Linked DNA regions of Nothobranchius furzeri. The protein of the gene in region 1 purifies or fractionates together with the protein of each later gene. This does not show direct contact. Links are inferred from orthologs where the notes say so. Each region holds a gene or a part of one and is shown in the gene's direction. Other genes may lie near its edges.

The links.
Region 2: the proteins of mlf1 (region 1) and dnajb6b purify together in Homo sapiens (affinity purification with mass spectrometry; 3 studies listed by BioGRID and IntAct, counting the BioPlex papers as one, with this or other methods). This does not show direct contact. The link is inferred for Nothobranchius furzeri from reciprocal best matches to the Homo sapiens genes MLF1 and DNAJB6.

What each region holds. Positions count from the first base shown.
Region 1 is NC_091753.1:40,111,444-40,127,938, reverse strand, and holds mlf1 (myeloid leukemia factor 1), read left to right. Parts: upstream 1-6,580; 5' UTR 6,581-6,710; coding exon 6,711-6,757; intron 6,758-7,053; exon of another isoform or gene 7,054-7,080; coding exon of another isoform or gene 7,081-7,097; intron 7,098-7,204; coding exon 7,205-7,367; intron 7,368-12,776; coding exon 12,777-12,821; intron 12,822-14,287; coding exon 14,288-14,368; intron 14,369-14,457; coding exon 14,458-14,586; intron 14,587-14,675; coding exon 14,676-14,835; intron 14,836-14,922; coding exon 14,923-15,061; intron 15,062-15,198; coding exon 15,199-15,265; 3' UTR 15,266-15,937; downstream 15,938-16,495. Other genes in the region: rsrc1 (serine/Arginine-related protein 53), read left to right, coding at 710-817, 3,519-3,611. UniProt on the Homo sapiens protein: Involved in lineage commitment of primary hemopoietic progenitors by restricting erythroid formation and enhancing myeloid formation.
Region 2 is NC_091747.1:47,481,376-47,497,010, reverse strand, and holds the end of dnajb6b (dnaJ homolog subfamily B member 6b), read left to right. Parts: intron 1-19; coding exon 20-90; coding exon of another isoform or gene 91-125; exon of another isoform or gene 126-616; intron 617-7,491; coding exon 7,492-7,650; intron 7,651-9,212; coding exon 9,213-9,322; 3' UTR 9,323-10,016; downstream 10,017-15,635. UniProt on the Homo sapiens protein: Has a stimulatory effect on the ATPase activity of HSP70 in a dose-dependent and time-dependent manner and hence acts as a co-chaperone of HSP70. Plays an indispensable role in the organization of KRT8/KRT18 filaments.

The sequences.
Region 1 (16,495 bases):
CTTTCTTTAATCAGCTCGAGCTCCGGAGATATGGCAACACTAGAGGGACAGCCAGCTTTGTCCTCATTTAAATTCCTTTCAAATAGTCCATTAGCTCTAAAAGGAAATGAGTGCCATAAAGTTGCTGCTACTGTGTGACGAAGCTCGGTTTTAACAGTGATCAACAGAGTAAACTAAAGATAGCTGAAATGAGAGGAAAGTAAAAGTTATTATACACGAAAGTTAATCAGGAGAGATTTAATGCGTCTCTTTAGGCTGGTGTTGGCTGCACATGTTAGTCCTTCTCTGCCACCTGCTGGGCAAATATCAAAATGCTCAAAGAAATTGTTGCCTCTGCTGCAAACAGCGTGCCTAATCTTAACACCAATTTTTTATCGATATTTTCCCACCAATGTACAGAAATCTATCATTTTTGCCAAAATGCAATAATATAATACATTTATTTTATAGAGGTTTCCAAAGTTTTAGCTTTTTATTAAATTTTTTTTGCTACTTTTGATATTAACCTCCTTTTTCTTTGACGAATGAGATAAAAAATAATGATAAGCTGTAGAGCTTTGCATTTCTTTTTCATTTCTTAGGTGACGTGTAATCATATTGAATGTATGCACTGCATGTATTACCTCAGCATTAACTCCAATTTGGATTTCGTGGTACTTTTATTAAATTTTTGTTTCTTCTTCCTTCCACTGTGTTGTTTTGAACACAGACTGGGTCAGCTGAGGTGAAGCAGGAGTCACTGACTTCATCTTCTCAGGACATCTCTTTCCCCTTGGCGATCATTTACGACGACGATGACACGCTTGCTCACCCCAGTGTAAGTTCCCACCATCAAACCCCAAGTCATCCCAAGTTGTCTTTCAGCTTCATATAGGCATCTAACCTCCGAAGCTCCTGTGTTCACATATGTGGACATTGACTTTTTGCACTATAATGTTGTAGTGGCCCTGCCCACTGTGGAACAGGCAGTAAGTGAGGTGCATTGTGGGTAATGGGTTGTCAGTAGTTTTGTTCCATTTCGGTGTGTTTTGCTAAGATTATTGCCAGGATTGTGTCCTTAGTCTTTTGCTCAGTGTTCTGACTCTGCTATTTTTAGTTTGTGTCTATTCGGCACTATGAGTAGGGGTTCCAGTCCGAGGAATGGGACCGCGGTACCGTTTGGATGTTGAACAAAGTAGTTAGAATAAAGCAGAACCGTGCCCATCACTCCTGTTCTTAAATCTCTACACTAGTTACTAGTAAACTGCAGAACAGATTTCAAAGTGCTTCTACTAGTTTATAAATCACCCAATAGCATGGGGCCAGAATACATGTCAGATCTCCTTCCTGTACATATGCCCAGCAGGGCTCTGAGATCCTTAGGTCAGAATGGGTCAGAACCAAACAGGGTGAGGCTGATTTTAGCTACTATGCTGCACACAGATGGAATCAGCTTCCTCATGACCTCAAATCTGCCCCAACTCTAGTAACTTTAAAATCAAAATGGAAAACCTTCATGTTTTCATCAGCCTTTGAATGACTGCTCTTATGCTGCACCTTCTGCACTGTAACTGCTCACATTTTGTTTCTTTATCATTTTTTAATTGTATTTTCTGTCTTGTTGACTTTAATGTTCTTGCTGTTCTTGCTAATGGAAAGCACATTGAATTGCTTCTATGTATGAAATGTGCTCATATAAATGAAGCTGCCTTGCCTTGACTCTCTGGAGTCGATGTCCTTGATCTTGCTGGGTGCTAATTGTTAGCAGTCTGCTCTCCCCGTCACCTTGGCGTGGAATTTGCCACAATATTTTTTTATTGTTATTTTTGAGACACTTGATATTTACTTCAAGTGTAACTTTTTTTTCCTTTCTTTTCCTGGGAGGAAATTTGTCAAAACTGTTTATTAAATGTTTATGAATTTTTTTCACATTTATGAGAGTCGACTAATCTGTACTGGCTAGAAATGTTTTTTTCTTTATGAATCACACCAAATTTGGGTTTCACGAGGTTAAAAAAAACTTTCAAACTTCAAGAATTTCAATGTTGATCTCTCTCCATGTCATTTCAGTTACCACCATGTTTTTACGATTGTGGACTTTTTATTTAAAAGTGCCTCTACTGCTTCTAACGCATCAACACTTTCCTGCATACTTTGATTCAGAGCATCATATCACACCGCAGTATACCAGTTTATAGTTTCCTAACACTGCCTCCTCCTCTAGCGGCAAGCCAATGATGAAAAACGAGAAGGAAAACTTTAAACTCCAATAACGCTCCCTGGGGCTTCCCAGTCATCTATCTCCACTGGGGAAACTAAGTTATACCCTGATGTATGCAGATAACCCACTCACACAGATACACACACACACACATGCATACATACACTGTCAGACAGGCTGATATATGGTAGCAATATGCCCCAGGCGAGCCCCGGCCCCTGCACCATCTCCAGCTCCACTCCCAATTAGAACAGATGAGTCCCATTAGCCCGGTTCAGATACTGTCATCCCACACACACTGCCTCGTTAGCACCATGACACCAGCTCAGGGCCGACAGACAAGAACTCACTGGTACTGATTCTAACACACAGATTACATGCAAGCGTAGCTGTACGTAGCGTAGGCTGGAGATGAAGGATGGACGTGTCTGGAGTTGCTCCACCATCTGCATAGTAATAGACATCTGTATCATCCCACAGATGTACAGTATGTACACATCACCAGCATGTCAACATTATACCTCCCCCTGCAGCGAATATAGGAATAATCTGACATTTGTTTCCAATGTCCCAGTGCCCTGCGTCTCAGTCGTTGTGTTACTTCCTAATAAACAGATGCCTTCATTCATCAGACACTTGAAGCAGCAGTTTCACGACCCTCTTACAGTCAGTATCATCTCTACCGATGATGTACAGCGCTGGGAATAAGTAACACATGCAGGCCTTTGTCTAGGAGCGAGTGTCACAGGACTGGATGGCTTCTAATAGACCGGCCTGAAAAGACATGAGAGATGCACCTGTTACTGTAGTATTAGAGCATCATAACTGTCTCAGCAGCTACACTCAGGTGGCTTTAAATGAGCAGCGCTAACAACTCTACTCCAGGAACTTAAAGCTCTTTTATTAGTCAGAATGGGAGATGTGTTAGAGCCAGACCCAAAGATTCAAAATAAACCATTTTTATTGTACATTATAATTAGTTACAACATGTTATAATTATAAATGCATTTGTGTGACCAACAGATTCTGTCGTTGTGGCCAGATCACAAGGCTTTAGGCACATTTAGGAGTCAGATCAAGTGCGAAAGACTATTTTTTCCCCCTCAAAACAATTCCTGGAAGCAGATTTAATTGTTTTTGTTTACATTTGCAACTTATGCTCATCTTACTGGAGATATCACTCTATAATTGTTTTTATACACATCTTAGGATCTAATACTAACATCTATGAAATGCTGTCAAACAAAAAGCTAAACTGTTTCACTGTTTTCTTCTGTTTCAAGGCTTTTCAACTTGACTTCTTTATGCTTTTCTGCAGTTGTTCATGGAAAAGGAAACAGCTGAGGAGCTGTGGCTGAACAGACTGATCTCCCTTCGACAGGAGAGGCTGATGGGAAGTCCTGTTCCCTAGAGAGCAGATCTTTCTTTTTCCAGTCCAGAGCTGCATCTTATTTGTCTTCATTGCTTCTCAGTCATCTTTTAAATTATTTCGAGATCATTGCAGCTTTTTTCAAACTCCTTTCTCTCAGGACCTGTGGAGCAGTTTTTGTGTCCTGGTGTTGCCTGTTATTTTTTATTAAAGCTAATGAATAAATGAACTAATGTTCTTTATTTGTCTTTTGTAACTTCTCATGATGAAAATGTAAATGTCAGGTGTTATTTTTCTGAGTTGATGTAACATTTGATGCCTGATGTTCAATATAGTCTGTTAAAGCTGCTGTTTTTATAATAAAAACATTTGGTGTCGGATATATTGCCACAAATTTACCTTGTAGTGGTGAGGATTGACTACATATTTGTTAAGTGATCAATAAGATGTGATATTCTATATAAATATGAATCTGATTGATCTTTAAATATTTGAATTAATATCACTTTAAGTTCTTTAAATATTCAACACACATTTCATATTAATTCAGACAAGAGTCAAGTATATAGTTTTATAAAAATGTAATTCTATTTTTCTAAAGTAGTGATTATACATGACAAAGTATGAATGAAATGATGGTTGTACAGATAACAGATAATGAATGAAATGGAATGTAAGCTAGATGGTTGTAGCAAGACCTTGTAAGTATCAGAGAGATCTCGTGATGTCTGGGTTGTAAAATCAGTTTGGCTGCATGCTTTAATAAGCTACAGTTTATTTATAAAACCAACACAATCGTGCAGAGTCTACGAACACTTGTGTGACTGTCGCTCTAAGCCGTTTGGATGAAAGGCAGCCAGAGTGGTGATTTACCGGACCTCGTGGCCACAGGAATCTCAAAGAGCCGTAGTTCCCTTTGAATTCAGATTTCTAGTCCGGCCATGAGATGCAACCAGGGTCTGCAGGTTAGACGTTCCACGTCTGAGGTTGTAGTGTCTGAAATCACTCGCAAGCGTTGCAGAGAAGCTTTGACCTTGGGGTCAAAAGAGAGGATGGTTCCAAATGCTTGCTCGCCTGTCGGTTGAACCAGGAGACCGCTGGAGAATTAAACAGATCAGGAAGCGATCCTTTCAGAGGTGTGACCAAGTCACTGCTTTGCAAGTCACAAGTAAGTCACAAGTCTTTCCAGTCAAGTCAAAGACAACCAAGTCCAAGTTGAGTCCAAAGTCAATGATGTGGAAGGCCAAGTCCTTAACTTTGAATTTTCAAGTGATATTCAAGTCATCTGTCCAACTTCAATTTAATGACGATAATAAAAAAAAAATCCAGAAAAAAGCTTTTTAAAGCTTCATTTTTTGCTCAAACAAGCAGAAAGTGCAGCCGAAACTGATTATGAACAAAGTGCTGCTGCATTTAGAACAAGATCAAACCCAGAACGAAGAATGACTTATGATTTTTGTCCATGGTGTGCCACTTTTGTGCTAAAATATCAAATATGCCCAAGTCAACAGATGCAAGTCGATTCAAGTCGTAAGTCTTTATACATTTTATCAAGTCAAGTAAGTCATTAAAATAATGACTCAAGTCTGACTTGAGTCCACACCTCTGGATCCTTCTATTCATTAATTGTTGACAAATTTTAGACAAATCAGAATTTGACAAGTTTAAAGGCCATTACCAACATACCTCAGAAGATCCCTCCTTCACTCCGATACTAAGAGGTTAATTCTTAGTGAGAAGTGAAAATGTTAAACATTAATAATAATATTATATTATTGTGAATATACTGATAGATGAAATTATATAGTCAACAATTACTAATCTGGTGTTGATCTGAAATGAATCATTACAGGAAAAATATTCATTTTAACCCCTCGTTGATTAATGTAGACATTATTTATGCACTTTGAATTTAAACAAATTTTTCATTCAACAAGAGATGATTATATGACACTTATAAAATTGTAAAGTCATTTATGTCAGGAAAGATAAACTTTATTCAGAGAGTAAAAGTCTCGTCTTCTGTATGAGGTCTTGGGTTCCAGCAAAGGTAAGGGAGCTAGGGGAAGGACTATTATGGCTCCCTTATTCAGTAACAAGGTCATCGAGCAGTGCTTGTCTGATCTGGAGACCAGATAGCTATGATCTGGCCCAGGATGTGTGATGCAGTTTGTGCCTGCAAGTTAAAAGTTAACTTTTGGTCATTTAGAAGAAATACTTACTTACTTTTGGTACACTATAACATGTTACTCTAAAATTTTAGAAAGTTTATTTAATTTTTAATATTTCCCTTTAGTTTGTTTCAAAACAAACATTAAAAATTATATGACCTAACACGTCTTCAACTTTGCTGTTAAGCATGCAAACCACATTGTGTTTTCCAGAGTGTTGTGTCAGTGGTTTGGTCTAAGATTGTTGGCCACGATTTATGGCGTCTATTCATGGGCTCACCAGATGGTAAACCTATGAGTCTGAATATAATACTCTCTTCAAATGATCAGTGTTGAAACTGAATATTTTAGCTTGTAAACATGATTTACTGCATGAAACGCACACATGGCTGCTTGAGTACTTAATTGCAATTAATTTTGTCAGCACATCTTTCCAGAATTTAGTTTACCCAGATTCATATGCACCAAAAATTAGCCGTTAAGATTTTGTTTAGTTTAGTTTAGTTTAGATTTAGTTAAATAAATCCCACATAAATTATGTTTCAAAATCTTAACAGTTTACATTAAATAGGCATAGCTGAAAAGTTACAAAAATATGGGGATTTTTAAAATAATAATAAAATAATAATAATTATTATTGTTGTTGTTGTTGTTGTTATTATTATTATTATTATTATTATTATTTTGACAGAGTAGATAAACGTTTTTTTAATGAAAGAAAGTTCTCGAGTGTCGTTGCCACAGTAGCCGTTCACAACATGGAGCGCGTGGACAGAACCTGTTTAAAGAGTCCTGCGAAAGTAACCAATGAGGGAGGCGGATTTCTGTCACATGAGCACCGTTCGCTTTGGCTCTAACTGCTTGACACCTCCGTTACTAACGGTCAGGCGAGACTGGAGAGCTCGGTACAGATAATTACTTAGTAAATTTCCCAGTTCGGTTTGTTTTTGTGGTTTTAAAGTCCGCGGAAATGTTCAACAGCATGCTGAGGGATTTTGAGGAGGACCCGTTCTTTTCGTGAGTAGTAGCACCTGTTTAGATGATTTAGCTTCAGGTTAAATTATCAAAACGAAGGCGTAGAGAACCAACGCAGATTATTTTAAGCTAGCAGTTATGTGTCCCCACATAGTTGATGAAAAACAGTTTTGTTATTTTACAGATATACATTTGAATTATATTTCAAACAACTTCACACAGACACCGAACTACATTAACTTTGACAAGCTCCATGAGTTAGTGTGGCCACACTCAACCCGACTTCTAAGTGTGCGTAGGGGTGGCTAAAATTATTTTGGGGTGCGTCTTATTTCAGTCTGGTGTGTTCATTGAAGAATTCACCCATGAGCTCCAAGTTTGTGTAAGGGACGAGTCATGTTTCTTTTTAATCGACCGATGGCTGACATTTTTGTGACTGTTTTTAAATCTCTCCCTTTTTTTCTTTACACTTCTCATATTCTCTGACAGAGATCAATTCCGTGCTCACAGAGAGCAAATGAGGCAGATGATGCGTAGCTTCTCTGAACCGTTTGGTGCATCCTCGTTTCCCAGTATAACCGATGGGAGAAACCATGGACGTGACGTGGGAGTTCATCCCAGTTCATCACTTGCTCTGAGAAATGAACACAGGGTGAGTACATCCAGTTCAGAATGCACTCTTCTTTCAGGCATTTGGGTCTGAGACGTGTAATGTGCTCATTTTTGGGGGGCTGAACATAATTCGTACATTTTGGACCCATGACAAACGACAGGGTTTTGACGAGTCTCTAATTCTTAGGCAGGATGCATCCCCCATAGTGTACCTGAACCTTGTAGAAGTACAGGGCCGTGTTGGTCTCTGGTTTAGTGGAAGAGCAACCCCCTTTGCCTCTTGTCAGCTATATCCAGCCCTAGAAGACCTATTTTTAGTGCATTATTCCACTAACGCACAACTTTTTTGTAAATACATGCACAAACATCTTTGAAGGTCCCCTGAGAATTCTGCTTTACTGGTATGAGCTGCTGCTGAGATTTTTCTTTATATTTTAAAGAGCAAGTCACTCCCTACCAGAGTCTTACCCCCAAATTCCACTACCTCCGCTCCGCTCGGGTCCGCCCCCGCCTTCCGCAGCCGCTCGCTTCAGAACTCAATTTTTACTGGTACCTGCTCTACAACGGCTCCGCTCCGGTGCGGAGACCTGAGGTGGGCAAACAAGCATGCGCGGGATTTTCGAGATCTTGCGATACAGTCCGAGCAATAAACGCGGAAGTTATCCAAACACCCGTTGTGTGGGAGAAGCATCGGCATGAACTGTTTAATCTGCCCATCATTTGTGTTGACAGATCAGCAATGTTTGGATCAACAAAGTGTGACTACTTTGATAGTAGAAACTGTATTTATGGCTTACTTTTGTGCATTTAAACTTCAGCCACCATTGATAATTGTTAAAAGTTGTTAAACCTGTGCATATGAAACAAAAAACGCCTTTTGTTTATCGATTTATTGTGAAAAACGGAAGATGTGCTTGCTCCTTTTCCTGTTGTGCGGTTGTGATTTCTGTCCATTTACTGCGGAGGTGCTCCGGCGTCCGGCAAAAATAGAATCAATCCTATTTTTGCTGGACGCCGGAACAGAGGGCGGCGCGCGGCGCCACACTGCCGGAGCACGGCCGCATTAGTGGAATTGCTCTGATTGACTACAACGGGACCGATTTTGCTCCGGCGTTCGTGTCGGAGCGGAGTGGAGGTAGTGGAATTTGGGGGTAAATCCACTCCTACTTCCTGTTTCAAAAATGCAACAAATGCTGTTGCCTGGCAGACTGAGACGGTGGAGCTGCTAACAAATACACTGATACTCACCACGACATTGTGACATCATAATGTACCAGCTAATGTCATGGTGTACCTCTTAGCCAATAACAGATTTAAAGAGCAAGTCACCCCCAAATCAACTTTTTTTGCTGATAAATTATATAATTGAGTGTCAAATCATGCTGTAAACACGTGCAGTCAATAATTTGGCACTTAAGTGCATTTTTGTTAAAATTAAAATATTCTGGAAGACTGGTAGGGGGTGACTTGCACTTTAAAGAGCAAGTCACCCCAAATCAACTTTTTTTTCTGATAAACTATATAAATGCATGTCCAATCATGCTGCAGACACGTGTAGTCAATAGTTTTGCACTTTAGTGCGTTTTAGTTAAAATTTTTATTTTCTGCCTAAAACTGTCAGTGTCAGGTAAAAACTCTGCATTGCATTTGAATTTAAATCTGCCATTGCTATTGGCTAAGCAGTACCCTAGAACATTAGCGGGTACTATGGTGATGTCACAATGTCATTGTGAGCCTGTGTGTGTGTGTATTTGTTAGCGGCTCTGCCCTCTCGGTCTGCTAGGCAACAGCATTTGTTACATTTTTCAAACAGGGAGTGGAGTAATACTCTGGTAGTACAAGAGACTTACTTCACTCCCACTTAATGTTTAAAAAATGCAACAAATACTGTTGCCTGGCAGACCGAGAGGGCGGAGCTGCTAACAAATACACACACACACACAGGCTTACAGTGGCATTGTGACATCATAAGGTACCAGTTTACATCATAGAATACCTCTTAGCCAATAGCGGTGGCAGATTTAAATTCAAATACAGTGCAGAGTTTTTACCTGACGGGCGCAACACTGACAGTTTTAGGCAGAATATTTAAAATTCAACTAAAATGCACTGAAGTTCCAAATTATTGACTACACGTGTCTGCAGCACGATTAGACACTCGTTCATGTCGTTTATCAGCAAGAAAATGTTGGTTTGGGGGTGACTTGCTCTTTAAAGAACAAATCACCCCCTACCAGCGTGTTACTCCACTCCCACTTCCTGTTTGAAAAATGTAACAAATGCTGTTGCCTAGCAGGCCGAGAGGGTGGAGCCACTAACAAATACACACACACACAAACACACACAAGCTCACAACGACATTGTGACATCCTAATGTACCAGCTTAATGTCATAGTGTGCCTCTTAGCCAATAGCAATGGCAGATTTAAATTCAAATGCAGTGCTGAGTTTTTACCTGAAGAGAACACTGACAGTGTTAGGCAGAATGTTTAAATTTTAATTAAGATGCGCTAAAGCGCCAAATGATTGACTGCATGTGTTTACAGCACGATTAGACACACATTTATATAGTTTATCAGCAAAATAAAGTTGATTTGGGGGTGACTTGCTCTTTAAAGAAGCTGTCAGAATGACTCTTTAAAGAGAGTTGTTTTTCTTGCCGTTCAAAGCAAACTATGCTCAGATGAATGGGCCATGACCCAAATTATTAAGAACGAGATGTTCACAGTGATTGATGTGAAATTTTCTCAGGCTTGTTTGTTTCAGAGGCGACAAATTAGTCAATTTAAAAAAAAAACTTTCAATTTATTTGGTAACTTGCCATCAGTATGTGAAGAGCATTTCAAGAAATATTTAAAATGATTTTCATTTGGATCCAGATGAGATGCTAACACAGAGTCATCATGTTGTAAAATCTGCTTGTTTGTATCATAAGAAGAGGAGCTGAGAGCATTAATCATGAACTTTTTACTAATCTTCTACTCCCTTCCAAGTTATATTGATACTCGGTCAAAGTTAGTCACAGTCACTTGCTTTAATCCAAGTCTGTCACGGGAGGCTGTATTTATCCTTGATAATGGCTTACTTCAGAAGCATGGCCTTGATCACGTACCGTGTGCTTTCTTTTTAATAGCACCGTGCTGCAAGCAGCTGGACTTACTTTGAGTGCTACACATATAACCTCGTCAATAGAGACTAATACACTTCAAATGATCCAGCTAAGAAAATTAACTTTTAAAATCTCTTGGCCTTTTTTGACAAGTGGAAAAACAGATTTGTTTTCCAAACAAATGAGTAGATGTCAAAAGAATGTGTTATAAAAGAGAAAAAAACAAGTCCAATAACTAAATTAATATCTATAACACACACACAAACACTCTCACACACACACACACACACACACACACACACACACACACACACACACGCGTCTCAGAAGATAAGAAGTTCAAACCCACAGTGGTGGAAAAGCTGGGGCTGTTGTAACGGCATGTACTTCATGTTCAGATGTCACGGCTTCTCTGTTTTCTCATTGTTGCTCTTTTCGTCCATCTGCTTCACAGAACTTGGCATCACTGGCACATTAGCAGCTAGATGACAGACAGCTCGCTCTCAAGCTGTCCTCCAGTATCACAGATGCAAATGCACACACACACACACACAATACGGCATTAACTCGTTTGCAGATACAGGGACACGCAGTTTCACTTTGCAATATTTATGCAACGGCATGCATGTACACAGAGAAGCACACACACACACACACACACTCTTAATGGACAGTTATGTTCCTTCTACAAGCATACCATGAGATTCCCAGTGGAGGGAAAAGTGCTGTCTACCATCATCGGCCTCTGAGTGCTCACATTTCTCTAGCTCCTGCCAATCTCCACTAACAGGGTCATGTTACGTTTCTTAGTCTTCATTCATCGTGGCACTTGTTTACAAAAGTACTGTTGGGTAGCAGCACAGCCCCACGTCCAAACAAGCTGTCAGAACTTCTATCAATAAAAATGGAATGTGATCATTTACAAAAAAATTAATCTTTAAAAATGTAAATTTTTGATATTAGCTAAACATGTTGTAATATAATTTAGGGTAGTTATATTAAAAGATTTTTTTTAATTATGTGGTTGTAAAATGTCTCACAAGTGATGGATAACAGACCTGCGACCTCTGCCCCATACTAAGTGCACGTCAGTTTCAGCAGTCAAGAGATCACAAAACATGCCTATAATGTGTTGATGAGTGTGTCTGTTTTCCTTACTTTGCTCTGTCTCTCCCCTTCTCATGCTCAGTCTAAATATAATGCTCACAGATATGTAACTGGCATTTATTAGATCATAGATACCACTGTGGGATAAAGCTGGCAGTTCAGGAGCGTTTTACTTCAGCTTGACCTTTGAAAAGAGCTGAGAGAGCAGCCTTGGACTCTCTGACCCCCTACTGGGTCTCTGTCCTGACTGGTCCACCCTGCCTGCTGTAACCTTCCTAGAATGAAGCTCAGTTATGGTGTGAAACCCCCTCTAATCTCTGGCAATGTGACCCAATTACACATGGAACACAAGTCATTCAACACCCCACTGATTACACACAATAACTCTGCACATCACAGCCTGAGAAAATACCCTCACTCACATAGTGATGGCAGTTGGGATGCTTATCTGGGGCAACAGGGGTCACAAACACCTGTGGACTTGGCCCACAGTACATAGATAGTGACTTGAGGGCTGCAAGCTGCACCCATCTTACTCATTTGTTGGTGGCTGCAACTCCAGTAAGTTAGTTGCTTTGAAAGTCTGTAGAAGACCATGTGTAGAGCTGTTTGTAGTAGATATGTTGGCAACTTGGTGATTAATGGAAAAGAAAATCAGCTACGCTGAGAAATATGTAGATGACATATGATGTTCTTTTAGAAATGTCAAAAATAAATGCTAATGAGAAACATCAGTGTTACACAGCTTTTTGGTGATGTTTATGCTGTAATAGTCACTTGGTTTTATGGTCATCTTGAAAATTGTTGTTTTAGGAATGTTTAAAAACATATTTTAGACAACCAGCTGTTTTCTAAACCCGCTTCATCCTTTTTTTGGTCCTTGGGGCTCAGGTTCCAGCAACCATTAGGTGAGAGATGGAGAATGTCCTGGACATGTCACCAGTCTATCACTAGACTCTAGACCAGTGGTTTCTAGGCTATTTTAACTTCTGACGCACACAATTACAAAAGACTTTGAATAAAGATATTTTATAAAAGCTAAATAAACAGACACCTTCAGCTTGTATTATTTTACCTTTAGCCATTTCCACTACTAATAGAAAGTGTTATCTAATGTAGTTTTGAAGATCATCTCAGAACCCCAAACTCAGTATGACCCACATTGTTAAATAAATTGCGTGCAACAGTTTTTTAAAGTCTTCTATGCATCTAAACTGATGTTTTAATCTCCAGGATATGAGCCGGTCATTGTTACCCTTTGGCAGCACTGACAGCACGGTCAGTGGAAAACGAAACCTCTTTACTGGCAAAGTGCATGCTCTAACTCTGAAAGTACATCTGTTCCTTCATCTCTGACTCGTCAGTTATCCATAGCATACCAACTTTATTTCTATAGCATAATTTAAACTACAGCGTGAGAGCTGACCAAAGTGCTGTACAGGCAGGATCAATAAAAAAAGAGAGCAATAAGGATCTAAACAAGGCATCAATAGCAGATAAAAACAATAAGAACAGTAGACAAAACACAACAGTAACAGTCTGAATGCCAAGCCATAAAAGTGAGTCTTTAAACGAGACTAAAAGCAGGCCGAGAGAGTGCCTGCCTAGCTCTAACAGGCAGTGAGTTCCAGAGCGTGGGGGCAGCATGGGCAAACGCGTGTTCACCCCGTGATTTGTAGTACACCCGGGGAGTGCAGAGAAGCAGGACATCAGCTTACCTCAATTTGCGCATAGGTACTTAGGGGGTGAGAAGGTTGGACAAATAGGGAGGTGCTAGGTCATGTAAAGCTTTAAGAACAAACATCAATTTCTTAAAACGTACACAAAAAGTGACGAGGAGCCAGTGAAGACATGGCAGGACTGGGGTGATATGACTACGCCGGCTTGTTCGTTAAAAACCTAGCAGCAGCGTTTTGGGTGACCTGTAGCCGGTTCAGGGCAGAGACAGGAGTACCTACAAGTAGTGTGTTTGCATAGTCCAAACGAGAGGTAATGGAGGCATGGATGACTGATTCCAAGTGCCTCCACTTCAGGATCGGTATTAGACGGGTCAGGCGGCGTAACTGATAAAAACAAGAGCTCACCACTGAGTTTATCTAAGGAATCATCGAGAGGTTGGCATCCACTTACACCCTGAGACTTATTACACACTGCTTAGGGTTTAAAGTTAAACAATCAAAAGCGGAGTGAGAGCCAGAAGGATTGTGGGGGTCAGAGACGATGGATTCCGTCTTTGGCAGCCAGCCAGCGTATCACTGGTCAAAGAGACCCCTCTCAAATGATACGTATGTGTCTAAGAACAGATCAAATACTGTGTAAACCAAACTTTATTCTCACCTTAACTGAGGCTGAGTTACTTGTGTCAGCAGAAAAGATCATTAATGTGAGAGTGGGAGTTTTTTGCTCATTTAGGATTAAAATAGCTCATTTAAAACATTTTCTATAAATCTATTTATGAAGAAACGATGGTTTGTCTTCAATGCATGACTTTGTTCTTGTTTTCTTTAGAAGGAATGCTAAATGTGTAATAGTTAATGTTAGCATGCATGACTAACTTAGACGTCACCAAAACATATTTCTTAAGGTGCTGAAAGATCAATGTTCTGCTTACAGCGAATGTTTAACACTCTACACCGGTCATGTATATGTGCACACATGATGGAGTTGTTTACAACGTTCATGCATGTGTTCAGCCTTCCAGCTCTTGTTGCTTTGACTGATATTGCTGTGTTTTGTTTTTACAGGGCATGCACAATCATTTTGGCATGTTGGACAACATGATGGTCAACGTGAGAAACAGGATGGAGGAGATGCACAGGAACTTTGTAAGTTTAGTCAAATAAACAGCCTGGATTGTTCAACTGCTGTTCATAATAAATGCTGGCATGTTTGTGTGTGTGTGTGATTTTTTCAGGAGAACATGTCCACAGATTCAAACTCCCACTCCTTCAGCTCCTCATCAGTAATGACGTATTCAAAAGTCGGTAGCGAGCCTCCGAAGGTCTTCCAGGCAGTCTCATCAACTCGTCGTGCCCCTGGAGGGGTAAGTCTCCTGAAAGAGTACATTTTGATGTTTTAAACCCTCAAAAGTGAAATTATTTGTGAAGACTGACTCACACTGGTTTTTCCCAGATCAAAGAGACCCACCGAGCAGTGAAGGACTCTGAAAGTGGTCTGCAGAAGATGAGAATTGGACATCACATCAAGGACAAAGGACACATTGTTGAGAAGAAATACAACAAGAAAACAGGAGAGAAAGAGCTCAGCCAGGACTTTCAGAATATGGATGAATGTATGTTAAAGCATTCCACTTGCATCACACTTTTGTCCTGCTGTAGGGTCTTCCACCACCCCACCTAACCTGAGCTTTCCCCTTCAGCTGAAGCTCAGTCGTTTGATGATGAGTGGCAGCAGGAGTTGTCCAGATTTCAGCCATCACACCCCACGTCTTGCCTGAGACAACCTCCATCCCGTTCAGGCTTTCAGGCCGCCCTAATGGGTCCTGAACACTCCCATGGGTCAGTATTCACACCACATGAACAGAAATAACACACTTTCTGTCCAACACAGATATAACACAGAAAGAGACCAAGTTCAGCTTGTGTATCATAATGTGATCATTTGTTGTGATTTTATTTTATTTTATTTTTTGCAGGAACCAGAAAAAGCTCGAAGCTCGAGATAAAGATAAAACTGAAAGCTCAAAAAAGACAAGTCAATAAATCACCCGTCTTTCTATTCATTAGGCTTTGAGCATCATACATCCCACCTTATACATTTAAATAGATTGTTACCTATGTCAGCCAGCCGCTTACATCACTAGAACCAATTTTCCCAAGCAATTTGTAAAGTGTGATTTGATTTGTTTGAAATGTGATGAATGTTTATTTTTTGAGTCTGTTAACCAAAAAAAAAGAAAGAAAGAAAGAAAAAGAAAGAATAAAGACTAATGGCAATAGTCTAGTTATACTTGGTGGCATTTTCTGAAGCTGAAGACAAAGTGAAAATGTAATTTGTTTTGTGTAATAGAATACAGCAATTTTCTATTTAAAAAGCACAATATTATATATGTAAAGATTTAAGCCTCTTATTGGTTCACAAAGTCTGAGAAGAGGTCATTCATTTTAAGAGCTCTTTTTAATGACTAAATTAAACACTTAAGAAATCCACAGATGCATATAAAAATATAGTTTCTGTTTTTAATGTGTTTTCTCTGCTGTAATCTTTGTACTAAACACACGTGCACTTCCCTTTTTTTCCATCTCATGAACTCTGCTGCACTACACAAATGCTAGACAGCATGTGGCTTCCTCTACGTTTTGTTCATCTATTTTTGCATATGTTAAAAGTACAGTCTGTCGGCATGTGATGTCTAAATAAAAGAGGAAAGAATCTTTGTGAAGTTTTCTTTAACCGTTCAAATCTAAGATTTATTTTAACAGTTGCACAAAAAGAAATTTATCTATTTGGAAAATAAACTAAAGAGGTAGAGGGGAACCTCTTTTGCACAGTGACCCCAGGTGGTATTTTTGGATCCAAGTACTTGTCAGTAGCTCAGACTGGGCTGAGATGTTGCACAGCTGCAGCCCGCCATACTTCCCTCTTACGTGCAGGTGTTATCAGGCCTTCTTTCTTTCTTTGAAACTAATAGGAGCATAAAAAAGGAAAAAAAAAAATCTTTGACAATTCTGGCGTTACTAAGCCATCATTTTGTTGACAAACTAAAACAATATCAGCAGACTCACAGGTAACTAAAGGGTTTGACAAATTCTTTATGGAAGTTGTGGTTTTGGCACGAGTTACCAGAAAAACCTGTTTTGCCACATTCTGAATAAGAAGTAAAGCACAGCACCAGTAGAAAGGTTTTACTACTAAATAAAATATTTTACAAAAGACTACACGTGCAACTCTGTCGCCACCTGCTGGACATTACAAAACAATTTACAAAAGAG
Region 2 (15,635 bases), on another chromosome or scaffold:
TTTCCTTGTGTGCGATCAGGACTGTGGAGAACGGCCAGGAGCGGGTAGAAGTGGTGGAAGATGGTCAGTTAAAATCTCTAACAGTTAATGGTAAGGAGCAGCTACTAAGACTGGATAACAAATGAACAAAAGGTTTTCTCCTCTGGATAAACTCTGGCAGTCAGTCTCTCCTCTCTCTGTCGTCATGCATCTCATTCCCAAAGAAGAATTCCCTCATGTTAGCTTAGCTGCCAGGGAGGTGAGGGACGTCTTCTCTGTGTTTGTAAATTTTTATTTATTCCATTATTTCAGGGAGGAGGGATGGGGGACCAGTGTGTTGGGATTTTTTTTTTAATATAAATATATTGTACTTCTCTGCCATAAGCACACACATGCTGTATATTTTCCTTTAACTTAGGGTGTGTATATTGTCGTGTTGTGGCAGGAAAACAAATGTGTACATTAGACCTAAAAGCATGTGGTTTTTGCTATTTCATTTGAGCAGTTTAACAAGTGGATGAGAACTTTAACCACCTCACCTTGGTGTTTTTAACATCCGCTTCACTCCGCTAACCTGTTTGCTATTATCCATGCGAGTGTAATAATTATTCATTAATAAATGAATTATAACACCGTGCATTTTTCTTTTAGTCTGGAAATGTCACCGTGTGATTGGTTTGTTTCTGCATGACTGGAGGAGGCTGTGTTTATTGCTTCTGCAGCTCAACCTGTGAATCTCAACATTAACACCTTTTAGCAGACACAGATGCGGGACTTTGTTTTTGTTCTTTGAAGATTAAAATTTGGTCAATAAAGTTGAATTTGTGAAACTTAATGAAAACACTGCTTCCATCACCTGGTGTCTGTAGTTTTTACTCTGATTGCGGTGTCATATGGTCGTGCCACTCATGAATGTGTGTTTCCTGCTTGTGCATCATCACCGATTAAATCAGCTTCACACAACGGCAATAAAGAAAAATCACGTTTTGCTGCTTTTTCCTGTACGCTCACCAGTTCATCATGCACTTCACCTTGTGCATCATTTAACTGACTAATGCTTCAGTGACTCACATCAGGGCTTGGTCACTGATACTGCTGTACAGTGATTATGCTGCGTGTCTTTCCTCACTAAAATCTTGTTCATTGTTCCTTGAAAAGATGAACGGTATTAGTGAAGCGTTTAAACCCGCTGATCTTTCTGTACAATAGGAGTGTTTTACCTTTTCAAACCAGTTGGAAATGGAACAGCACCCACTCCTGGCTCCATAGTCGCCCCTCCCTGCTGCACTTTTCTATAGGGTTATGTAAGTTTGTCCTTAAAATGAACCCAAACTGCAGAGATTCTGCAGAGTGTGGCTCATGTGCAGCCTGGAAATGTGCAGTTATGTGATTTGCGTTTAAACGGCAGATTTTGATCCAAGATTGGATAGGGTGGTGGCTGCAGCTGGCCCAGGAACACAGAAATGAGTGTTTCTTATGGAATGTGCCCAAGGCTAGTCTATTTACACAAGCCCCAGTGCGTGTTCTTGTGAGGCATGTCAAGGAAACTGAAGAATCAGGAAAAAGAAAATAACTCAAACGCTTCAGGGTTCCGAGCAGGAACAAATGGTTACTTTTCTATGACTTAATTTAGTCTGAAATGATATTATTTTAGAGAACATGGCAGCTCTTCATCCTAACTTTTATCAGTGGTGTAGAGTGAAGCAGCGTTATACGCATGCGCTGTCCTGTTGCTAAGCGTCCAGTCAACTTTTCCTAACCTAGCTTGTAAACGTGTTTTCTCGCAGTTTTTGTGCTAGTTTATGCATGTTGCGCTTAAAGAGCAAGTCACCCCCTACAAGAAACTTACTCCACTCCCACTTCATGTTTGAAAAATGCAACAAATGCTGTTGCCTGGCAGACCGAGAGGGCGGAGCCACTAACAAATACACACACACATAGGCTCACAACGGCATTGTGACATCATAATGTACCAGTTTACACCGTAGCATACCTCTTAGCCAATAGCGGTGGCAGATTTAAATTCAAATACAGTGCAGAGTTTTTACCTGATGACGGCGCAACACTGCCAGTTTTAGGCAGAAAAATTAAATTTTAACTAAGATGCACTGATGTGCCAAATTATTGATTACATGTGTCTGCAGCACGATTAGACACTCGTTTATTTAGTTTATCAGCAAAAAAAAGCTGATTTGGGGGTGACTTGCTATTTAAAGTGGTTTTAGTTTTTTTTCCCCACCAAATGAAAAAATTAGGTTATTTTTATTACGAAGAGTTAAAAAATGGTAAAACGTTTGAACCGACATGTGTTCATGTATTTATTGGACTACAGCCCCCTCTAGTGGGCATTTAGGGTTGTTTCAGTGTTAACCTACCATCATTTAGTTCAATGACATTTTTTTACTGTACAGTTTTGACTTACAAATTTCTTCCAAAACACAGCCAAATTTAAAAAAAGATAGGTGATTCTACAAATTTACTATAAGCACGAACGATTTGGGTGCTGAAGAGACGGATGGTGTTAAAAATTTGGCTCCAACTTCAGCTCTTCCTCTGAAAACTATTACTAAGCAAGGTTTAAATGTATGCCGAGATGTTTACATGTCTACTGTTCTTATGTTTAAACTCTCAGTGTGAAAACAACCCCCAAAACGTTAGAAACCTAAAACCACTATTATTCTGAAGCAAGGTCTCAAGACTAGTTTTTCCGACATTAATTCCAAGTAAAACTGGTAAATATTAGTATTTTACTTGATACGATTAGTAAACCTAGAAAACTAAAACGGCGTTAGTTGAAAATAAATACCCTGACGTGTGTAATAAAAATAAAAGTGATTATTCCCCCCCAGACTATTTGAATCAGGGTTGTACAGTCATGTGGCCACGAGATGGCGCCGTTGGAACTCAAAAGACTGCGCAACCTCTGCGTCGTAAACATACAAAGGGAAAATTACGTTTTTTGCGAGCAACCACGAGATCTGGAGCCTTGTTGGAATCATATACATACACATTTATATTTTTAAAATAAAGTTTTTCAAATACAGCATTAAAAACATTTATAAAATGTATTTTTTATACAAGATATGAATTATACATAGATTTAATACAATCTTTTAACTTTTTTTTTCCACACGTCTGATATGCACCCTCCTCTCACACACACATACGAAACTAGACAGCTTAGTACGAAACCAGGGCCTTGAGCCACTGGCCACTTTATGAATGATGGCTAAGATAGGCTGCCAGCTTCTTTTTACCCATGTCTGAACACGGACTCTATCTGTCTGTGCTCAATAGAGAGGTCCCATCAGCATGACACCAGATGTCTTGAACCTTTGGAAGGTGGGCTGTTGAATTTAATCTGGTTGTAGCTGTCATGTAGGGTTAGCCCCTTTTGAGCAGTGATTTATTTCAGGCTCCTTTAGTCGACAAGTAAAACTCCATCCTGCTGCGCGCCAGGCTGCATTTGTCCATCACATATAGATTTGGTGTCTTTGTGAGTTTAGGTGCGTCTTGGTGCTTTATTTAAGTCTAGACATTGTGTTTCAAACACGCTACATTGTTTAAGCCTGGAGACAAATGACAGCCACTCTCAAGACAATAGCAGCAAATGAAAGCATCGAGTTGCTCCGACATGTTCTCTCGGCTCTCTCCTTGATCCAGAAAAAATAGGCCAGCTTTATGAAAGTTAAAAGCCCTCATTATCATCACAGCTCTTTGATATGGTCTTTGTTTAAATTAATTAAATGTTGTTGGATTATGCAACCCAGTGGCAGATGGAGTCTTATTACCTGGGTAACTGGACTCTAAGTAGATGCAAATATTGATCCTCTGGGGTAAAAGAGGCTGGAATGGAGCGCACAACCTTGAAGTCACAAGTGTTTTGGCCTAATCCGGCTATCTACCTTCACCTGATGGGATCACAAAACAAATGCAAGCTGGAATGAGATTTCTTTTCCAACCCCCTTCTTGCGGTGCCTTGAGAGCCAAGCCACCACTTATCCTGTTCACTGAGATCTGGTGTCTGTACAGTCAGCACCGTGTTGTTTTTCCCATTCAAACTACACTCAATGTAACAGTTTGGTTTTTAAACTCTGAAATAAATCAGTTCAAGTGCAAGGCCAAAAAGGGATAAATCACCACCAAGTTTGACCATAAAAGAAGAACATTCTGTGTAAACTGCTCAGCCAGTTTCAGCCTCAACACAATGGAACAGTCTTTGTGACAAAGAAATTGGACTTGGGTCAAAATGGATGACCTGTGTTAATAAGATGCCCATTCAAATGGAATTTAAATCCAGCAACGCCTTTGTCTCAGTTAGAGCCTTGGCTCAGGCCGTTGTCCCTCAAAACTCTTGAGCTCCACCTGAAGGAATCGTTTCAGTTTGGTAGAAATGTTGTCTGTCCGCTCAAAATATGAACCCAAATCACCAAATGTTTTACGGTTAAAAGTTAGAAATAAAACAAATCCTGAAAATATGAAAATCCCAGGTACAACAGAAGGCGGTTTTACTCCACATGATCTAATCAAAACTCTTTTCAAGCCACCTCTCTGATGTCCATAGCCACAAGTTCTGGCATCAACGTTAGGTATAGACATTCCACACAATAGAGGAACGTCGGTGGCCAATTTTTCAGTAGCATTAATGTTGAAAACTACATATTCTTCCAGCAATATTAAGGTGGTTTTCTGGCATTTGTCTCAAAAGCTCAAACGCAATTCGGACGAAAATCTACTAATGGATCATCTGGTTGTCGGTCTCGCTGAACTGCTGCACTTCCACGCTTCCCTGGGTCCTCCACTCATTACAATCTCACAAATTTAGCAACGGAACACCTCTGGTGTGAGAGGTTCTCCACTCAATACTATCAGAGTAGGAGAAACAGACGGCGGCTACCACTTCAACTTTAGGACAAACAGCCAGAGTCCCAAAAAGAAAAACACCATTTGAATTCACGGACAACAAAAGACATTTGGACGTAGAAAACAGTGACTGGTGTTTTGCACTATCTCGTACTGAGACATTTAGATAGTCACTCTGCTCAGAAAAATATAATAAACTGACCAAACTGATCAGATATTGTCAGAAAATTATTAAGGATATACTTGTGAATTATTCTGAAACATCGGAAAACATCTAAAAATATTCCAAACTTTCCTTATTAGGTAACTGTCATATGTTCATGTTTGCAGTTTCACTGTTATTGTGGCTATAACAGATGCTTTGTTTGTATGATTGAATGCTTAAAAGTGACGTAGCTGCAGGTAGCAAGATGCAGCATTTATCCCAGCTGGACTACTTTAATAAACCACAGTTAAGCAGTGGTGCCCCCAAGGGGTGGCCAGATGGGGGGGGGGGGGGGGGGGCATGGCCACCCCACTGGGCCTCCCAGCGAAGACACCGTCCACCTTTGATTAATCAAAATGCAATACATACAGTTATAATTATTGGGTATATAAATCAGATTTTATATATATTTTGTGGAGGTTCGCCATTTTCAAAAAAGTCCAAATCTCAATAGTTTCAGGTTTGTGGTTTTCAACGAATTTCTTTAATGGCAACATTTTTGCAAGTTTAGAGGAGACGCAAGCTGGTAACTATGCCTGACAGTTTAAAGGATTTTTTTGTCAGACAATATTAGATCATGTCAGTTATGTGCAACTAACGTGTTTTCGCACTGACGTCCTGAGTGTGGTGCAAAAAAAAACCAGATGGTGACACCTGTTAATCATACAATTTGAATTCCAACAGTGAAAGAAAAATTTAACTCGTTTATTTTTATTCATGTGATGTAGCAAGTAGCAATGCAATTTTGTAAATCTTCTGTAGGACTACTTATACAATATTTCTGCTATACACAAAAATATCTTTGATGTTTTGATACATTTTAATAACAATTTAATGTAAAAGTTTTTGTTACTGTACCCTTTTAGCCACCACTAGAGGGAGTGGCCTCATTCTTCCTTTGCTAATACACAGCCATAGACACATACACTTTTTGACTGCAGAGAAATTGTTAGAATTGTCACCTGCCAAAAATAATAAGACATATTTTCTGAAGCAATGAGACTATTTGGATCGGGAAGTTAGATGTTGAGCTGCAGTCTGTAGCACTTGTTGGGTTGTAGTGAGACGGTTGCAAGTTTGATTTCCACAGCAGCCTTTCTGCATGGAGTTAGCGTTCTTATCATGCATGCGTGTGTTTTATCCACTTTCTGCCCACAGACCAATAACATGCATGTTAGCTTGATTGGAGATTCTAAATTGTCCTCAGGGTGAGTGTAATGGGATGGACTAAGCTAGCTTTCCAACTGTTGGAGACACATTTTAAGACCAAGTTCAATGAGAAACCATTTTTTACCTGTCATTTTTTAAATATGATCAGCTCTGAATTTCACATGCAGGCTGAACGTGAAAATAGTCTTGTATACCTGTTCCCTGCATCAACCGTCAATAGAAAATAAATGGGGAAGTGCCCAGGTTAAAAAAAAGCCACATGGATCTGCATCTCGCTGTAAATTAGCATTCATGGACTCATCCACCTTGGCTCGTGTCGGGGAAGGTGGTTAATTTTTGCAGCCAGGAGAGAGCAGAGTGTGTCTCAGCTAGTAGATGCTAACCGTTAGCATCAGTCACTCCTTCAGACTTGTGTTATTTGTGGAGATAAAACATAAACGTTGCAGAGCAAACAGAGTCAGTGGTAGAGTTGCATTGCTGTTAGCCAATCAGAGGCAAGGTGTCAGAATATCAGGAAATAATAATGAGTAAGACTCACAAGGTGTCTTTTTACACCAGAGACTGCTGCAAATGTGTTGAAAAAACAAGTGAACTTGGTCTTTAAGGTAGTGACCAAAACACACCCTTATTTTACTGTGGTGAAAACGCCTCAAAGATGCGTTCTCTGTTTAAAACTGGACTATCTTAAACCTTAGAGGGGTGCAGATCCTCCTAAACTAGACCGGTTTCAGCAGGACGAGCATCTGGCCTCCTTCACGTCTCCTCTCCGCTGCCTTAATTACACAACACAATGACGATGAGATCTGCCTGTAATCTCCCAGCATAATAACCCCCACCCATCCACCCCGTTCCCTGCCTGCCACTAATTCAATATAAATGTAAATTACCTCGAGAAAAGAATAAGCAAATCTCATTTTATTTACATGACTAATCACAATAAAGTCAGGCAGATGAAATATGAATGGAATATACAGCTGGGGTGTGCGTTTCCATAGAGACTTGTTTTAGATGTTATTTCTTTTGGGGTACATCAATATACCTTTTGGACTCTTGCTCAACTTGTAATAGATGTGTGTATCTATTTTCTCCTGTCTGCTCGTACGCACACTGCCAAGGGCATCACAAAGCAATATGTTTTCCCTTTTTTTCTATAATACACATATCTGAGGAGAAAATGTAAAAAAAAAAACGACTTCATGTTGAGCACCTCGGGCATTCCATCCAAACAGGATGAGTTTAAGTGTGATTTATTCCTTCTCCGCTCACGCCCACAGACCTCGCACCTCAGGATCCCTTTGAGGAGGAGTTTCGTCGCCTCAGACAGAACGCGCTTCCTGGCTTCGGCCTGCACCAGCGCTACCTGAGGAACTCTGCCCAGAACCCCTCAGAGGAAGAGGAGGAGCACGGCCCACAGAGCCAGGGACTGACGAGAGGTCCGCCAATCTGCCAGTGCAGGCCTGATTAATTACCAACACACTGAGCTCTCCTTTAAAGAGTCTTAATGAGCGCAGCTAATTGTCGGCTTTTGTGTCTGATGGCCCCACAAAGCACAAACGACGAAGAGTTGCGTGTTTGATTGGCAGATGTAAACACAGAGGACAGACATGTTCATTAGGCAGCTCTGTTCTACGTCGCCGTAACGACCGAGAGGTCAGAGTCCGCCCCCTGTTTTCCTCTACGGGGTCAGGAAGTCAGGCACAAAAGCTGAGCAATTATCTGCAACACAGTCGCTGAATGCTTCATAATGGCGGCTTCGTTAGTTAAGGAGGCAACCTTTAATTTCACCGAGCATAGTTCCTGCTGAGATGCGAACAAAAGAGCGTAATTCTCTCACTCAGATGCACAAACAGCTCGAAAATGTCTCCTCAGAGAGCTTAATTTACAAGTTTTATTCCTGTAAACCTGAGTTTAAGCCCAAAATCGGATTATCTTTACTAACGTGTCATTAATTAGTCACAAACGCGTGTAAGCGGGTTACAGATTTATCAATAATTGTTGCAAACTTGATCCTTTATCATCTGGATCTTCTGGTAATAAAATAGCTTAATTCCAACCATGCATATGTTAAAAAATGACTTTGTATTCAAAGATTTGCATAAATAACTACCATTTTATTAGAAAATTCTGAATAAAGTTCAGTTTTTTCACTTTCAATCACAGCAAAGAGGCGCAAAGTTAAACAAAAAATCACACAATTAGAATTCTGAGAGGGTTGCATTCTGTATGAATGTTCATTATGAACGTTAATCTAACTAATCAGCTAGAGCAAAACAACAAAATCAAAACAGCCTCACAGCCTGCAACCAGCTCAGACATACATTGATTGTGTGCAAAATCAAAAAGTCAAATCTCAAGTTCACTCATGCAGCAAACCTTCCTGCTTCTAGTCAACAAGCAGAATGTAAATAAGTGAGTTACTCTTATTTTCTTTTCCTGCTGCAGCTACAAAGATAAATAAGTAAATAAATAAATAAATAAATAAAAGACTGGATTAGTTTAAAAATGTACCTGAAAACCATCTGATACCTTTTCTGTACCATGTTTAGTAAATCATGCGTATGCATTAAGATTTACTTACTGACATAAGTATTTTTATTTTTGTACCTTTTTTACACAAGTTTGCTTCTAATTAGGACAAAAAATACATGTACTGTATCCTGAAAATGGCATTAAAACAATAACTAACAGGACTGAACTCAATACATAATTTCATATCATATAAAATAATAACAATACTACAATAATACTACTACTAATAATAAAAATTGGTACTTACCACTTGCAGTGCCATCATCCACCAGAGAGCAGCAGACAAAATAATGTACTAATCCTGATAAAGAGATAGAGCTAGCAGAAATACAAGTTATGATTACAAATTAGATTTATTTTAGCACTCACATAATAATTTAGGCCACAGTAAAAGGAATAAAAAGAAAAACATTTAATCACAGCTTATAAACATTCTTAAATGCTTTCTTTTTGTTTTACTTTGAAGGTCACATGGACTCCAAGAGAAAGAAGCTGTGGCTAAAGGAGGCAGACTCCAAAAAGAAACGATCCGCTCGACTCTTCCCTCGATTGAATGGATTCGGCACCTTTTTCTAAAACACCCGGCAGGTATAAAAGTAGTTGTGTTGCAAAAGAGCCGTCGGCTACATGTGGCATTAGTATGATTTTTCTAAAATCAGAGCCGACAGCATCGCTGCTGCATCAGATCTCCTCCTATCTGCAGTATAAAGCTTAATTCATACCTGCTTTCATCAGCCATACAACACCACAACAGCAATTTTTATATTTTATTCTGATTGTAGACGCTGCAGTGGTTCGCTTGTTGCTGTTGTTGTTGAAGCGTTGGTCTTCTCCAGGAGGCCTCCAGATCTTAAACAAATCTCTAATGACTGAACTGATTTCTGCAGCTTGCTTTTTAGGCTCTTGAAAATGTTTGGCTGCAAAAGAGAAATTGCCTGATTTGAAATAACCATGAGATGTTGAGGTTATGGCATGTGAGAGACGATGAAGGTCAGTCTATTTGGTGCAACAGGCGACTTTGAAAGTTTCAAAGAAATGATGCTCAGTCCTAGTACTTTTACCAGTATTGCACCTTTAAAATGCAAATTTTAAAGATTTTTTTGTAGCCTAATCAACAACACGCTCTTTTTGTGTTTTTGTAAAATACAAACTCATTTAGGATCTTCTGACAGATCGTTCTTGTAATAAACTGCGTTTAGATGTGGAAATGTGAGACAAATGTTCACATTTTTATGGACTCTGACAATAAATACTTAAATAAAACAAAGAATATACTCATCGTTTTGTTGTGTAGGACCACATTTTATCACCAGGAGAATAATCTCAGGAAGACATCAAGCTGCTGAGGCAGTTGTGATAAGATATCTGCTGTTACAGTTCAGCGGGTGTTATCAGCCGCCTGTCCTGTGGGCCGGAACATTATTACTTCAAAACAGTGGCTGTGTGTCATTACAAATCAAGATTGAAAAAAGAGGAGAACAAATAGATTTTAGCCTATTCCACATGTCTTTGTCTAACCATGAATGAGATGTTTTTGATTTAAAGGTGCAGTGTGTAAGGATAACGTAAGAATTTTACAGTGATATAATCCTAAAACAGTCTAATGTCTCAATTACGTTGGAAGGAAGGTTATACTCAGACATATTTCATTCTCAGCCGGCTGCTGGGGTTGTCAGGTTTTCTCCTTTCAAAAGTCTGTGGGAGTGTGGGGTTGCCGTGTCTCCTGCGAGCTAGTGTAGTTTGTAATTCGACTACAGCTAGCAAAAAGCATTGTTGAGAGTTGTACAAAGAATCAAAGCAGTAACTAAAGTGACCCAGAAGTTATTTCAAGTACCCCTAAGAAGCCAATGCATCTTTTATTTTCTAGTCTAATATCAGGTAAAGAAGCCTTGAGACTAGCGTTGAGCTAACAATGCTAACGGTGAATTTGAAGCAAAGAGTCAGCTATAAAAATATCTCAAGCTACTTTTTCAATTACCAACAACTCGACATCACAGTGAAATCTATGTGTTAAGTGAATAATGAGTCAATCGTGGTGTTTTACTTCCTGAAATGAGTAGATCAAAGCAATAGCTAACTGTAAAATACCCAATAGTGCTAGCACCAGATATGACAATGTGTTTATCTACTTATCAACTTATTGTGTTTGACTCGTCTTTGCTTGTCTCAGCTCAGTGGCCTAGTGATACAGTGTCTCCCCTGGGACTGGAAGATCGGGGTTCGAATCCCAGTCGGGTCATAGACTTTAAAGACTAACTAAACCCCAAAATAACTTTTTTTTTGTTTCTAAACTGTATAACTGGGTCTTTACCAATGCAGTCTTTCTGTTTCTGTGTATTTTTTGACAAGTTTGTAAACTTGATTAAATCTAGAATTTAGGTCTAAAAACGTCTTAGTGCTGCCCCCTTTGGCAGAACTGTGGCTACTGCATTTTATATTTGTGATGCTGGTACAATTTTACGTCATCGATACAGTCTCCTCCCACTCCCCCTCCCTCCCAAAATGGAAATTCTCCACACTTGGCCATGCCACACCATGCCTCCTGGCAACGCCCACTTTCATAGCATTTTTCAAATCTTGACTAGGGGTGTAATTACATTTTCTGATGGTGTGCAGTCCCTCTTAAAAAAATGGGACCCAATGCCTCCCTGCTTGATAGTCAGCTTTAAGGGGTTGGATTGGAAGGTTAAACCACCAAATAGTTCCCAAGCGCAGCCGTGTCTGCAGCTCACTGCTCCGTATGGGGATGGGTCAAATGCAGAGGACAACCATGGGACTTTAACTTTAACTATGGCATCTAGAATCTTCTGGTGATGATGATCCGCAACTGGCTACAGCCATAAAACTGACGAAACAGGAGTGACACACTGCACTTACACACTGCACCTTTAACCTCCAGTAAACCTGCTGGAAAATGAAATTTAAACCTCGACAAGTAGATGTGAGGACCTTTGTGCACCCAAACCCTCCTTTGAAGTGTAAACTAAACAGGATTTTTTGATATACAGTAAGCAGTGTTTCTACTATAGAAATTTTGGGGAATTCGGGAAAGTAACCGGTCCTCTAAGCCATTGTCTCCGTACTAAAGCTGCCTTTTCAGGACTTCGCTAAGATGTCAGCATATTGCAACATATTGCGACTTTCCCAGCATTTTTATGGTGTTATGACTTTAGAAACAGCTTTTTCAAAGCAGCATCAGTACTGCTTATTTTTGTCATATAAAAAATATAAATGAATGCCACTTAGCTGTTAAATGTTTCACTGTGTTCTGAAGAAACCATTTTCTTCAATTCAGCAGAGGAAGAGAACATTTTAGTGGGCTTGTGAACATTTTTTCAGTATAAATAAAATAACATAGATAGAACAAAATTAATAATAGGTCACTCCTCTTAAAAGTAATACTAAAAGCTTTACCATAAAAAACAGGAAAATTTGAGTTTGTGATGAATTCAAACACAATCAGTTCATCTCTTGCAAGTAAACTACGGCTGAACTAGTTAATTTATCTTTCTTTTTGTATAAATAAACATTGAATATGACACAAGACAAAACACGATGAATGAAAAAAATGAAGTACGACAATAAAACAAGTCATACAGAAAAGAATACAAAAAAGTGGTATGTTGGAGGTACCGTGGTTAATTATTTAATTCATCCAAGATTGTACAAGCATTCAACTCTAAATCTTGGATTAAACTAATTCAGCATTTATTCAAGATCAAAAATGTGTTTTATCACATACATGACATTTCTTACATTTTCTCTTTTGTACTTTCTTGTATTACTTGTATTTTCTCTTTTGGTGTAATGAATAAAAAGGGTCAGTTTCCACCAATGAATTGGCACAGCGTAACCCTTCATGCACTCCAGAACTGCAGGGTCAGGGTTGTGCCAGCTAGAGGATCCAGACCTACAAATCAACCTTTTTCTCACTCATTGTTCTTCAACGCAGACATAAATAAACTGTCAAGGTCTCACCAGACGCAAAAGCCTTATCTCTCTTTGCTTAAAGTCAGACTGCTGGATTCATCCCTCTGAATAAAAGTGAATCAACACGAATCCGACAAGAGTTTTACATCTCATGATATAAATAATCATACGTGATGAATGAATAGGATGTCTGAATCAGGTGTTTGAATAACCTGTGCTTAAATCAATGAACTTGAAATGAATGTTGTTATTACAATGATCCATTCATATCACCAATCACTATGTGCTTGATTTAACAAGTTAATCATTAGCTACACTCATACACATCTTCATAAGATATAAACTAAGGTTCACCTCACATAACATTTAAAGATTCTTTATTCACAGAATTAAGAAGCTTGTCTCTGAAGGAAAGAGTGGCTTTCTGAGGAATGTTTTGGTAAAGCCTTCCAGACATGGCACATTCTGATTTGCCAGAACGGCCGGAAATAATATAATAATATTGGGGTTTAATAAAACAGGATTTACTTCTCGAATAATTCAGTTTCCAGCTGAACCCATTTCCAACAAATTGGGGAAGAAGCCTCTTTTGAAACACCTCTTTTGACATACAGTCAACCTGTTTGCATGCTGCAAGCTGACATGGCCAGACGGTTCCTTAAAAGCTACATCCACCTTGGACGTAGACAAGCATTCCAGCTACTGTTGTGACCTGGAGACATCCCAAGACTGGACGGGTCGTATCGGAGTTTATCCTACGAATTCCCGGTGCCCTGAGGTCCACCTGACTTCTGACAGTCCGAATCTGTTGGTGGTCTCTGCCAGGGTTTGTAGACACAACAGATTGTGTCTGATGCTGTTTTATTAATGATCAACTCTCTAGTTTATAGCAGACAACAAATTCTTTTACACCCAGATTTCACAATTTTTTTCAGATACAAAGATTCTGATAAACATCTAGCTTACATCACACCACCTCACACATCACATTCCATCACCGCATATACACTCCATCACATCTCACTATTCATATCTTGTCGTGTATAATCATTATTTTAGAAAAGAATAAAATTCCTTTTTAACTATATGCTTGACTCTGTCTGAATTAATACGAAGTGTGTTTATGGTCCCTGAACAAGCGAAGAACCCTAGACTCTTCTGATTAAACATTAAAAGATCAATCAGGTTGATATTTCATATTTATATGGAATGATCACATCTTGTTAGTCATAATTAATTTGCAGTCATCACGCTATAAAGTGTGACCGCTATACTGGTGAGTGGTAGCTGAACAGGTGCAGAGACAAAACACTCTGGATTTCCAAGTCACACGAGCAGACCCACAGAAAGCAGAATCCTGTCACATTATTTTGAACAAGCCTGCAGTGTTTTGTATTATTCATGTGGCAGAACTTGTGCACATGACCCAGCAACTCATTTGGCCCTCATTCTCGTACAGCCAGTGGTCTCTGAGGGTTTAATTAAGCTGTGTCCAAGCGGTGGCCCATCTCCTGCCATCGCCTAAAATTCTACATTTCTTCTTCTCTTAAAGAAAACACTAACACTCCTCCTACTCACTTTCACAAGAGGACGTGTGTACTTCCTAGAGAGCAAAAGGCAGAGAGGAACAGCACAGCATCACTGGCTGGCTCTTTCTTAAATCGTCTAAATTAGGTGAAGTGTTGACACTAGGGATCACCTGTTTTACTGATATCCGATACACGATATACAAATATTCGATATATCAATATTCAATATATCAGTATCTGACATATCGATATATCGATATTTGATATGTCAATATCTGATAAACCAATATTTGATATATCAATATTTGATATATAGGTATCTGGTACACTAATGTACTAATATTCCATATATCAATATTCAATGTATCAATATCTTCATAAATAAATATTCAATATATCTGATAAACCAAAATATGGATATAGTCTAACTCTTAAATTCAAATAACAAAAGAAGAAAAACTAAATAATTTCCGTTAAGTAACGTCACATATCTCCTACCATGCATATTTAATTTACCTCAATTTAAATTTGGCCCCAAAAAATATTTTTTTTTCAAATACTAGACCTTGGATACTTTTTTTTTTTTTTTACATTTTGAGAGAGAGGACAAGTAGCCGAAAGGTTTATTGTAAAATATGTGCATGGTTTGTAACATTTTTGTCTTTAAAAGAGCAAAACCAGATAACGATAATTTCCAATATTAAATTTACAGACCAATATAATCCCATAATAATTGGTTGGCTGATAATATCTGGCATATTTTGTTGACACCCTCTACCACTGGGGAAAATTAAATCAGATATTTGAACACAAAAAAAATTATGGATCTAAATGTGAAGATTTGAGCACAATTATATTTTTGTTGCAAGGATGGTATGAAATGTAGATAATAAATATGATCGTTAGATATCACCAACACTGTTTCTAATTTGCGAGGGCACTGACGACATGTGTTCTTTCAGCCCAGGGGAGGAAGAGTTAATATTCGAGCTCACTCCATGCAAGGCTCACAAATAAACGTTGAATGTTAACGACGCTTTTTTCCTAATAGTGCAACAAGCCAAAGACTAAATAGCATCTGGTAAAACTGCATTCCATAAAATGAGAAAAGTGAAAATTTTGACAGAATCACTCAACAATAGAAAACACCAATAAGAGTCAATAAACAAAATGCTGCTTGAGGGCAAATACTGCATCTCATATTCATATCTATATGAATATAATAATGTGGATGAAAGGGTAAAGGCACAAAGTAAACTGCTTCTTTAAATAATCTTTTTGAGGAGGTCCAGGAGGGGGAGGACCAAACCTTACCTGGATGTCCTATATCTTATATAATCTGGAATTTGTGCAAATGCAGGGATGGGTGCAGATATTCTGCTGGGGTGGGGCTGGGTTGGTGCCCTCAGACTCTGTGAGGCTCTGCAATG